3 linked regions of the Caenorhabditis elegans genome follow. The protein of the gene in region 2 interacts with the protein of the main gene of each other region in a pairwise test. Each region holds a gene or a part of one and is shown on either strand. Other genes may lie near its edges. The genes, in order: syp-4, syp-3 and gras-1.

Region 1 (4,882 bases), 1.8 Mb from region 2:
CTACACCATCGTCAACTAAACTGTACAAATACTGAAATTTTATGAATCAAAAATTCCCCCAAACACCTAGAGACGAAGGTACTTCTTTTTCACAAAATTACGAGATATAACCATTTCTAGCAATCGTGATTTCGTGAATCCGTGAAATTTGGCTGAGACTGAGATCGTGGTGGGACCCACTTTAAAAAATCATATATCCTGTGTCCTTAAAGTGATTTCACGAGACTACTTACGATATTAAATATAACTCTTTTTCCAAAATACAATAAAAGAAAAACTAACCACATGTTCACTTTCTCTTTGATTTTCTCGATTCAACATTTTTCTTGGACGCCTTCTTCGAAATGATTTTATTTTTCTTTTCTGGTCTCACACTATTAGACCTTTTGGAAGGCGATTTCAATGGATTTCTCGTAGATTTTGCTGATTTTTTAGAAAGCGTTTTTGGTGGTTTTATTGTAGAAATCAACTTTTTCGTTGAGATTTTTGCTGATTTCTTATCCCCCGGAGACAATGGATCAGCCAAATAATTTCGTGAAATCTTTTTTGTGGGTTTTTCCTTTGAAGGAGATGTTGGTGGAAGAGAATAATATGATTTTGGATTATCATTTGATGGCTTTACAGCAGTGGAATATGTTGATTTTCCAGTATCCACATAAACTGAACGAACGTCATCAGAATTTCGTTTCTCATGTGGTGGATCCTCCACCTTGTCATCGTATTTCTTGTAATTTCGGTAGCTGTTGCTTTTTTCTACAGGCATTGATCTGGCTGACTTATGTGAATTTTCACGTCTTCTCTTTTCATCCCTATAACTACTTCTTCTGGATTCTCCATCTCTATCTCTATCTCTATCACCTCCTCTTCCAAAATCACGTCTACTTGGAGATTTCTCCATTTTATGAGCCGATACATTATTTTTCTTGCTCCGAGAGCTATCTCTTTTGTCCCTAGAACTGCCACGTTTACTTCCAGAACTGTGTCTCTTCTTCCGTTTGCTCCGTGAGCTTTTCATACTCTTCTGTCTTGATTTTTTCTTTTTAGAACCTTCTTTCCTGTCAGATCCATTATTGTGATCATTTCCATCTTCCTTATAATTTTCCTTTTCATCTTCATTATCACCCTTCTTTTCTCTCTTAGATTTTTTAGATTTCTTCGATTTCATTGATTTCTTTGACTTTGAACCTTTTCGTCGGAACATCTCACGATGCCCGGTAGTACATCCAAGCACCATCGTTGCACTAGTTAAAGTGGCAGTCACCATAAGACATACTGTAAAAGTTGCTTCAAAAGCTGAATCAATGAGTAAACCTACGGTAATTCACATTCTCGGCCATTTGTTCTGGCGATGAACTCATTTTGTGAACAAAATAGAAATAAAGATGTTTTGATCAAATGAAAAGGCTATGCAAACGACACATCCAGTTCGAGACGTTTAATTTTGATAAATTTATATTAGCGTCTTTTCCATCCTTCAGTGAACTTTCAAATCTCCCAAATATCGTAAAAGAACATCGGCTAGGTGTTACATATAGACCCACTTTTCAGGGCCGCGCGCACGCAGCCCCGATACGCAAAAATTAAGCTGTTGGCGAATCTCAACTCGAGACTGCCACACAGGTCAGCCCGCACCAAAAGTGCAATGGGTAGGCCTAACCATGGGGATTCCGCCTTTGTGATCGCGAAATAACCCCCAGCCAGGTAAGTTTATGAGCCTGCGGGTGGAGGGAGTAGTGCGATAGGGTGTCCCGACATTTTGCGGTCTCCGCTACTCACTGTGTTTAGTGTATATGAGGCGGATTTTGACGTGATGGCAATTTGCGTATTTTACATTTAAGTTTACGAGCAATTGCAGGTACAGTAACCTTTGATGTGCAGGCACGAAAAAAATCTCCATTCAAAAGTTTGTTGCTTTTAGGAGAAAACTGAACTTTTCTGTTTCTTTGTTCGGTACGGTAACCTCATTTTTCATCAAAATTTTTTATTTCAAGGCGAAATAATGTCGTTTCCGACGCTACAAGTACGTCCAAATGAGAAAAATCCAAAAGTTCTGCGATGCCATGAGGTATTTTTAATCTACAGACAATCAGTTGTAATCCTCTTCTTTCAGTTTCTTCGCCAATCAAATCAACTTGTGGAGCGAAACATGATCAACACGGAAGGAAGAAAAATGTTGGCAAAGTTGCTGACGAAAATGGTATCCGAAGGTAAGATTCCCGATGGTTCATCGTTTTCCACTATTTTATTATTTAGCCAAAGGAATCTATGCATTAGATGAGAGACGCGCCGAGTTGGCAAAAAGTGGGAAACTCCAGGAGAAGCTGAAATCAGCTTATCAAACATCGCTGACAGTAATGGAAGATCGTCTACACATTGCTGAGCTATCTCGGCAGGTTCAAGAAAAGAAGCTGACAGTTCAGCAGTAAGTTTGTTCACATTAAAAGTAACACAATGTCTATTTTGACTCGAGTAAACCATTCAATTTTTTAAAGGAAATATTACGAATGTGACGACCTACGAAAATCCGTGCAAGAGACGAACACCGAGGCTCGACGAGTCCAGGAAATCAACGAACAGCGGCTTGTGGACACAACCAGGGCCACTGAGGAGCTCATCGTGAAAAGTGCCTCAATTCTGAAAAATCTAGAAAATTCATCCGACGTACATAAGCTTCGTGCAATGGAAGAGGAGAAAAGAATTCTAGAAGAAGTAGTGGAGGGGCTCAGAGATCAGAAGAAGTGTCTTGCCGATGATATCCGTACCAAGAAAGCTACATGTAAGTTATGAAGCATCGAATACACTTAATTTTTTGTAATATATCAAATTTTCAGTGAAAGCCGAATCAAAGAAATCGTTCGAAAAGACGGTAATTGAGTGTGCGAAACACTATAAACTCCATCAATCCTTGATGCCGAAGTTAGACAAATCGAAAAGAAGTTTGGAAACATTGAAGGACGAGGAAGAGAATCGACGAATTTGTGGAAGTCTCAGTCTGGATGAAACAATGCAGTTTGATCGTTCTTTTATTCTCGCGTCGGTATGTAAAACTAAATTTTATAAAGCCTAATTGCCTTTTCAAACTGAAATAATATTTACAGATGGACAAAACAAATAAGCCAGAAAAGGCCGTACAACAGTTAACTTCGAAAAGTTCGGAAGTTTCGATCACTCCACAGATAAGCGAAACCGCGAAATCTTCCTTCTCCAAAGAGCCAATTCCGACACAGCATCCGATGGAAGTTGGCGAAGAACCTGTAATCGAACATTCAGCTGAAGAAAGCGTTCATATTGAACCACCAAATGTCACTGAAATAAGGGAGGTGGTACCACAAATTACCATTCAGCCTACTCGTCAAGACAGCGTCGTTCAACGGGATGCAGAAGAGTTAGACACTTCAGCAGTTCCAAGCCCCCAACCGGAATCAATCCTAGATGAGCCCGAAGAAGAAGAAGAAGAACTTAGCAATCATGAAAATCATGCCGATCAATCGATGGATGTAATGGAAGTAGATCAGGAAGTACCCGAGGAAAGTCCCATGGAAGTCGGTGAGCAAGAAGAAATTGAGCAACCATCTGTATTCAAGGACATTCTAGCCACGGAGCAGGCTGCACTCTCCCAGGAACAAGAACCAGAGATCGTTGAGAAGCAGGCAGACAATGATGTTCAGTTTGTTGATGGTAAGTGTTTTACTTGGCAATAAACATTGAGTTATTCATTTCGCAGATCAACAAGTGGGAGCACAACTAGATGTAGAAGACGAAGAAGAAGTGATGAGCGAAAACGGTTCCAACAAAAGCAATAACTTCTCTTTTAACTTTTTTGGGAATAGCAAGGGTACATCAGCGGGAGAAGGTGGCGGTGAAGGCAGTAAGTTATGAAACACGTGAAATTAAAAAAAACTCCATTTTTATAGACTTCGACTTTAATTTTGACGGAATTGGAGCAGGAGATGATGGTTCGAACAATGGTGGTTCTACTGGAGATCTGGATTTCCTTAACTATGACGGAGAGGATGAAGGAAAGGGTTCGGGAAACACTCAATCCGATCCGTTCGGATTTGCATCAAATGGTAACGCAGCTGGTGGAGGTGGAGATGGATCGTTCAACTTTAACTTTGACGGTGACGGTGAAGGCGGAGCAACTTCTGGAGCGGGCGGAAACAGCACCTCGTTCTTTAACTTTTAGAAAATTATCATGTATTATTCAGCTCTTGTATCATTTGTATCGTTTAATGTCAGAAATTTTAGATTTTATTGGACCAAGAAATTGCCTCTTTTTTTTCTTTTTGAACAGCAAAAATATACATAATATAAAGTATTGATCATCTCATTGCGTTTTATTCTTTTTCACTTTAATGCTTTAAATGTATAGCTATTTAAATAATATTTATTCTGAAACAAACTCAAGTTCGCTTATGTTCGCAAAATTTTTGCTCGTAAAATCAGCAGCATTCGACGCAATGAACGATGCTCCGGTATAACGCTAACGAGCTTTGTTTAGCCATTGGAATTTTATTCGAAAAACGAAAATTGTCCTGTCAAATTTAGTGATTTTCATGTTTTTTTCCTTCAATTCTTTCCCACCAATTTGAATATGAGACATTGCAGCAATCTCCCTTCTGATTATTCAATTTAAATTGTTGGTATACCATAGTTTATGTTTTTCCTGTTAACCTCAATGTTTATTATTAATTAAAAGAGGTTGTTATATGTTCAAAGTTACACTTAAAATTGTGATGAGACTAAGACGAATTGTTCTTTATTTTTCAACCTTTAATGTCGGCGGAAAACTTTTTAAAAGTAGTTTATTGCAGAGACTAACAGTAATAATGGCTGACGACGAGCTTGAGACCTATAGATTGTGGAGAATCCGTAAAACAGT
Region 2 (3,686 bases):
TAAGAATCCGTCAAGCTAGTTCTAGTTTTATTATTCGCTAAAATCTTATCAGGCATCCATTCAGGTTGCTTTGCGGTTAACGAAACTCCATCAGCTGTCAATTTTTGAGATTTGAATGAAGAAAGTTGAAGAATTCCCAGGCAACGAGTTGTGTCAGAAGAGATAATCTGAAGATTTTTTAATTGAACAGAAACTATTGTTTTTCAATTTTTGACAGTGAATTGACTCCAGATAATTCCAACGTTTAGATGAATTTTTTATCACTATAACTTTTAAACACACCTTTCCGACTTTATTTTTCTTCTCGTCCAGAACTTCTGCTCCAATTTTGACTTGACCTTCACATTCAAATGGTAAGATTCGTCGACGGATAACACCTGTCAAAATTTAATTTTTCAAAATCAAATTGAACTAGTTTTGTGGGTTTTACAAAAATTTAATTGACAAGTTACTAAATAAAAAGGAAAGTGAGATTTCACGTCTCCAAATATCTAAATTTAGTTGAAGTAACCTGTATGAGCAGTTCTTGCAGTTAATTCCTGTCCAACATAACATCCTTTATCAAGTGAAACCATATTGAGCAGATCACCGTTTGCCTTAAAAAATAATATTTGAAAATGAACTTTTAGAAATATTTCATTTAAATTGCTTCTGTTGTATTTTTACCTGAAAAGGAAGCAACTCCGCCAATTCTTGAGATCCTTCTGCAATTCCAGCAGATCGTCGCAAATTTTCATATTTTTCTCGATTTTCGCTAACTTCCGATGAAGACGGATTACCGAAAACGCGAGCTCCAAAACCAGAAAATCGAGGATCGCGGTGAGCTAAAATAAAATGTTATTAAAGTTTTGACGTTCATTTTCTACCTTGTTTGTCCGATACATCTTCTGTGAAAAATATTTGATCGGAAGATTCGGTGATTTCAACTTGTTTCCTCAATCGATATTTCAAGATTTCTTTTGTTAAAATAGTTTTATTTTCTTTAGAACATTCCAAGAACAAATCATCAGTTCCTCGTCTCCATAGAAGAACATCTTCAACAATTCTCCCTTTTGTGTTGAGCAAAAAAGCAGCAAGTCCATTTTGAGTTTGAAGTTTTCTGCAAAATAAGATGTAATCATTTTCGCTGTAATTTTTAGAGTATAAAAACATACGTCACATCATTTGTAATTAAACCTTGAAGAAACGCGTTTGTGTCAGAGCCATGAAGTTTCAAAAGAACTCTATGAGGCAATTTAATTAATCTTTGTGTTGACATCTGTAAAAAAGTTTGATAATCACAAGAAAACATATTAAAATATGTTAGAGTAAATTTCGCAACGGGGATGATCATATGGCCGTGCCGAATAATTTCGTCCGCGGCCGCAAGTAGAGCGAGGAAATTTGAAAAAGAAAACAAGCGCTTGGATTAGCAGCAAACTATTTAGGATGAAGCACCAAGTACGTCGCATTGAAAGCTGGGAATAATTATAATTTGCCTAAGCTTGGGACAAACTACACTCAAAATAAAAAAACTGCGTGGCGTGTACTGCAGAAAACCTCATATTTAGGCCCCGCCTTTTTCTCGTCCACTCACGGAGTGGAGGCAAAAATTTGGGGACCAACCAATATCATGCCGCCGACATCCTACGGGTTCCGCGCGCCGCTATGTTTAACTCGCAGCGGGCGGAGACAGCTCGCCACGCCCACAGCGAGTTAATCCTAGCGGCGCGCGGAACCCGTAGGATGTCGGCGGCCTGATATTGGTTGGTCCCCAAATTTTTGCCTTTTGTCCGTGAGTGGACGAGAAAAAGGCGGGGCCTAAAAATGAGGTTTTCTGCAGTACAGGCCACGCAGTTTTTTTATTTTGAGTGTAGGTTGTTGCTTAAATTTAATAAAATTAATTTGAATTAAAAATTGTCGAAGCGAATACATATTTAAAAAATGAATATTTTGTGTGTTTAATGAGTGAATAAAAATAAAACTGTTCATGAAAACATACGGTTTAAAGGCTCACGTTGTTCTTAAGTCATGTGGGTCTCGCAACGATCGCAAACACGCTACGGTTTTTTGTTAATTTTAAATATTTTTATTTTCTATTGTGAATTGGCCATTTCAATATCTCCAATTTCAGAGATAAATGAATTTCGAAAAGCTTGTCAGTCAGGCAGTAAATGGTGACCGATTCAAAATTTTCTGCGGGCAGCTCACTGAGTTCACCAACTCGCTCGCTGGGGAAAGAGGTATGTTTTGAGGCAAACATCAATGAAATATGAATTTAAAAATACATTTTCAGAGGCCATAGAAAAAGGAATGAGGCAAATCGAAACTCAACAGCTTGAAGGTTTGACAGATTGAAAAAGGCTCAACTTTAAAATTTTCTTCAGCCGAAACTTCATTCACCGAGCGAATTGCTGAAGACAGGGTTAAATGTGCTGCTCAACGAGAAAGTCTAGAAAGACAGCTTCAGGATTTGACAGCAACTGACAATAAACTGTCTGAACAGAAAAGAGACTGGGAAGAGAGACAAGAAAAAGCCTATGATGAACTAATGTCTTATTTGGAAAACGAGGATGTGGACAGTGCGGGTACACAGTTCGGAGATCACTTCAATTCATTAATTAAATCGATGAACAACTTGGTAAGTCTGCTCGATAACTTTATAATTTTTAAAAAGAGTGGGTTTCTGAATGTTATATTTTCAGTCACATGATTCGATGAATGGTCAATTCAATTCACTCAAAAACAATCTGGATGAATTAAACATTGAAAGTAAGTTGAAAAAAAATTTTGATGGTATTATCAACTAAACTTGCAGAGAAACAACTAGAAGTCGCCATCGCTGATCAATCATCGACTATTTCTGAAATGATTCCTTCTCTCCGTCCAACATGTGGAGCGACCTACAAAGAGCGCAACACTCTTCGCATTATTTTCCATTATCAAGTTGCCAAACTGCGCAGTGAGTACCAAAAATGTCGTCTACAAGAAGAAGCTCTGAAAGCCCGACTTTCTACATGAATTAAAAGAATCAGAACAGCCAAAATGTGGGCAACTGTTAATCGAACTGTAATGATATTAAAAATTGAATAATCTTTTTTCAAATCGTTCTGTTATCCTAAACTTTCATCATGTCGAATGCTTATCATGTAATATTTAATTTTATTGCATCAACCGTTGTGAAGTTTTAATAAATTATAGTCCTGGATTTCTCGGCCTTCTTGAATTATTGGCCCGAGCGATAGCTTCCGCAAATGTTTTCGGAGGTCCTTCCGGCCAATTGTCCAAGTCCATATCCATAAAATCGCATGTATTCGTTCGAAATACAACTCCAGGCGGTAGAGGGTCTTCTTGAAGTTGTGAAATGGGTGTTCCTTGGATAGTAGATTGAGTCCTAAAGTAAGATGTTCCTATTAATTAAAATTCACAATTTTGGGAATATGAATAACTTTCCCTTTTTCGAAAGTCGTGCTTCAATAATGAGACTAACTTACTTTTCTACTGTGTGGTCCTCTTCTGATCGTTTTCCTGCATTTTCCAAAGATGCCAGCTCAATGATAGAATACTTTTTAGTACACGGCGTAATCGTTTTAAAGTGAAAATGACTGAGAAATTTAAGAATTTCACTTCTTGAAGAGTGGTCGGAATATGGAATTCTAATGATTCCCTCGTCGTCGTTGACACCATTTCCAAACGTATAATAGAGC
Region 3 (3,601 bases), 830 kb from region 2:
ACTTGGTGCGTACATTGCTCTCAAAGCTAAAAAATCGTGTTCTATTAAAATAATAATTCATTAGGACAACTCACTAAGCGTCTGTAACATTTTTCAGCTCTGTGTTATCCATATTGATAAGAATATCTGTCGCCAAATTGCAGTACTCTGTTTGGTTCATTTGTTGAAATGCTTGGACGGTAGACGAGGAAGATGTACCACCTTGTTGACCAGTTTCTGATGATTCCCATAGAGTACCCATTGAATTCGGAATGACACGAGAATTCTAAAAAATGAATTTAATTTAAATCCCATTTTCTTAATTTTTTTAAACCATTTGCTGTTGATCAAACTGATTTGATGTTCCTTGATTCATACTAAGTTCATTCAACTCTCGCCGGAGAAGTTCTTCCCTCTCTTGGGAACGTAGACGAGCAGTTAATTCAGTGAACATGTTAGGAAAAACCGTTTGACCCGGAAGATATGGAAGATCAATGTTTTCAATACTCTTTCCGCTGGCAATGAATGGTATTGTTTTATTTGGATCGATGACGTCATTGTTTTGAGAAATGTTAATAGCAGCATCATTTGACTCAGAAAGCCATGTACTTTGTTCAATTTGTTCTGCTGGAATCAATACACTTGGACGCTGCAACTAAAAAATTTTGAGAGAACTGCAAAGCTCTAATTTACCGGGAACTGATGACGCTGGACCATTTCAAAAACCCCATCGAGATCAGCGTTCAACTCGGAAGACGGAACTTCACCCTGATTGTTGGCTCCATGATGAATATTTAAGTTGTTCACTTCTCTTATAATTTCAGCTGGAGCTTCATCCACTTTAGGCTGAACTGAACCGAGTTTGCGTGTCTGTCAATAAAATTCATTAAACGGGAATTAAAAGTTAAAACCAACCAGGACAGGAATTGATTGAGATGAAAGACGACGTTGTGATGAAGCTGCCAAAGTGGAACTGGAAGGAACAAGCGCAGTATCTAAGGCTGGGACAGATTCGGAATTCGACAATTCTTGGATTGGGAGAAGCCTTTGTGTGAACGAGTTTCTCACTCCAGCAACTTGACTACTAGTGGGCACCTCTGACGATGTAAATGATTGAATTTCCTGTCGAAGAGATTGAGGTGGTACTTCACTTGAGCGAACCATGTTCTGGAAACATATTTTATCAATCAGAATATGAAAACAAAGTAAAACCGTTTGCGCGATTTGCTGAGGAACAGAAGTACTGGTTGGTAGAACTGCTTCACCAGAGAGTACAGGTGGAGGAAGCGGCTGGGATAAATCTGAAAATCGACTTGAAACTTAGGTCATTAAAAGTTTCCACAAACCTCTCTGATTACCAGCGAGATATCGCTGAGGATTCATACAGAAATTCCTCGTAAACTCATTTACTTGTGCTATATATTCAGCATAAGAATCATTCATCGCGAATGATCCTTATTTTGACAAAAATCAAGGGAATTTTCACAAAAGTAGGAAAAGTATTTAGGAACGAGTTTTCGAAAGCTGAAATTTCGAAAGCGTGTCATGTGTTTGCGTGTTTCAGTAAATACCGTAACCTTCATATATTTCAACAACAAATAAGAAAAGGTGCGCACGCGCTAGTCATTTGTTTGGTCTTTTAGTCGTTTATTTTTTTGCATGATGATTGTGTTTTAGTCACTTTTTACTTAAGTTTAATAATTTTATATGCTTTCTTCTAAAGTTATTACCGAATTTCCCATTATAAACTTTGCGCGTCGAATCTGGCGCTTGCGTACATGTTTCTCGTCTCTAGCTTTTCCTTTCATCTTCTCACCAATTTTACAACTTATCGACTTTGTTTCGAGTCTTGTGTTGTTTAAACATTTAAAAAACTCTAAAAACATGTTTTTTTGTTTAATATATGTTATTTCAGAGTTTCTGCTTTTATGGATCACATCGACGCTCATAGTGCGGTTTCCACGAGTTCGAGCTCTTCAAAATATGATACGCCGGATGACAATATTTCTGAACAGCGACTATTGTGTGACGCAAAAGTAATTATTTGATTCTCCATTGAAGAACAACCATAATATTCGTTACTACAGGAAGAATATCCACTGAATGATTATCTTTTCGATGGGATCAATCAAGAATCCGCACAACGGAGCCTTCTTCTATGTCGTCAAACATTTGAAACTTCCTTTGGCTTTGCTCTCCAATCATATGTATTCAAAAGAACATCTTCAAACAGTTACGAAAGAATAACTTATGTGGATTACGTGTCGGCTGATAGCCCAGCTGATCGCTGCGGGATAACACGAGGTATTCAATCATTTAATTCAGCTTTTCCTGCCAACTACTGCAATTTTAGGCGACATGGTCATTGCTGTCAATGAAAAAAGCGTCGTCACTGCCTCCCATGCAGAAATCGTCGAATCAATTGCTCAGTGTCTTCAAGTCAGTCTCGTTCTGGTCTTCAAAGATGTAGCAAGAATCGTGGAATTGAGCATGCGGTCGATTCAGTTACGATTCATGCTCGATGCAAAAATTAGAGAATTGAGGATGCTCGAAAAGACGGAAGAAGATTTGCAAGCATTATATGACGATGAACGTAAGTCGAGTTTACGGTTATTATTTTGATTATTTGTAACAATTTTAGATGGCAATGAGGAGGAAGACGAATCACTTGAAAGCACGCTTTACGAACTTGATGAGGAGCTAAAAAATGTACAAAATCCACAAGAAAAGGAAGCAAACGGCACTGATTATCGCCATCTCATTCGCATCAACAGTAGCACGTCTGTTGGAACTCCCCAAGTCACGCGTCTCTAGTAAAATCAATGTCTTTCATATTTTCACGTTTATCTCTGAACACTCATGGGTAAACATGTATACTCTAATTATATATTTCGATCCCTGGTACATAGTTGTACATATATGTATTTTAACTTCCTGTCTCCGCCCAAAATTTGCCATTTTATTCCCATTCCAGTCATTTTGATTCCCACAAACCTGTGATCATGGTTATGATTCTAGCCTGCCTGTTATACTATTAGTTTCAGGAAATAACATGAAGTTTTATCTACTATTCCTGACACAATTATTTCAATTATCCATGAGGTTCTGTGCCTTTTCTACTTTTTCGTTTGTTTTTCCTTGACAAAACTACTTTTTTTCAAACAGATGCACTCATTGTCAAGGATTCTTCTTCATCGCAGTAACAGTGTGCTCAATTCGCCTACTTTTCTTGTTGCTGTTAGGTAGACCTTTTCATCATTAAAACCTGTTTTATTCTGAGTATCCGTTAAATTCAATATTATCCCTCTAAAAAATGTGTTCTACTTCAGACAAACATCAGCCGGTCCACCTCCAGCCACTCCAGCTAAAGAAGGATCCTTGACCTACAAGTATGAACAATTTATTGGAAAATGGCCTAAAGTGTTGGCACTTCACAGGACTGTTCTTGAAGGTGAGGGAGTTCTCCGATTAACTTACTTACTTTTGAAATTCAAAAATGACATTTTCTGATCTTTTTTATTTTTATTCAGAGATCTTGACATGCTCTCTTAAAGTCGCACGGATTTATTCAGATGGGTCTCGGCGCAAAGTTTATGGCAACTTAAACTTCGCCCCGTGACTC

The links.
Region 1: the proteins of syp-3 (region 2) and syp-4 interact in a two-hybrid assay, tested with the Caenorhabditis elegans proteins (one study listed by BioGRID).
Region 3: the proteins of syp-3 (region 2) and gras-1 interact in a two-hybrid assay, tested with the Caenorhabditis elegans proteins (2 studies listed by BioGRID).

Annotation. Positions count from the first base shown.
Region 1 is NC_003279.8:6,845,595-6,850,476, forward strand, and holds syp-4 (Synaptonemal complex protein 4), read left to right. Parts: upstream 1-1,916; 5' UTR 1,917-1,999; coding exon 2,000-2,065; intron 2,066-2,110; coding exon 2,111-2,207; intron 2,208-2,253; coding exon 2,254-2,422; intron 2,423-2,492; coding exon 2,493-2,776; intron 2,777-2,831; coding exon 2,832-3,037; intron 3,038-3,098; coding exon 3,099-3,678; intron 3,679-3,724; coding exon 3,725-3,868; intron 3,869-3,914; coding exon 3,915-4,186; 3' UTR 4,187-4,329; downstream 4,330-4,882. Other genes in the region: H27M09.5 (uncharacterized protein), read right to left, coding at 290-1,272, 1,316-1,358; rpb-5 (DNA-directed RNA polymerases I, II, and III subunit RPABC1), read left to right, coding at 4,830-4,882.
Region 2 is NC_003279.8:8,662,548-8,666,233, reverse strand, and holds syp-3 (Synaptonemal complex protein 3), read left to right. Parts: upstream 1-2,113; 5' UTR 2,114-2,119; coding exon 2,120-2,222; intron 2,223-2,275; coding exon 2,276-2,323; intron 2,324-2,366; coding exon 2,367-2,620; intron 2,621-2,684; coding exon 2,685-2,751; intron 2,752-2,797; coding exon 2,798-3,000; 3' UTR 3,001-3,174; downstream 3,175-3,686. Other genes in the region: F39H2.3 (Aminomethyltransferase folate-binding domain-containing protein), read right to left, coding at 1-167, 283-377, 512-596, 667-824, 867-1,099, 1,155-1,258; mrt-1 (5' exonuclease Apollo), read right to left, coding at 3,175-3,373, 3,474-3,686. UniProt on the Caenorhabditis elegans protein: Plays a role in early meiotic events; during prophase I contributes to synaptonemal complex (SC) assembly, synapsis and chiasmata formation and stabilization of homologous chromosomes pairing.
Region 3 is NC_003279.8:7,833,920-7,837,520, forward strand, and holds gras-1 (General receptor for phosphoinositides 1-associated scaffold protein 1 homolog), read left to right. Parts: upstream 1-1,888; 5' UTR 1,889-1,907; coding exon 1,908-2,015; intron 2,016-2,066; coding exon 2,067-2,283; intron 2,284-2,332; coding exon 2,333-2,572; intron 2,573-2,620; coding exon 2,621-2,793; 3' UTR 2,794-3,048; downstream 3,049-3,601. Other genes in the region: F30F8.1 (RING-type domain-containing protein), read right to left, coding at 1-26, 75-265, 314-628, 673-849, 895-1,146, 1,192-1,280, 1,326-1,422; F30F8.9 (Letm1 RBD domain-containing protein), read left to right, coding at 3,145-3,221, 3,309-3,430.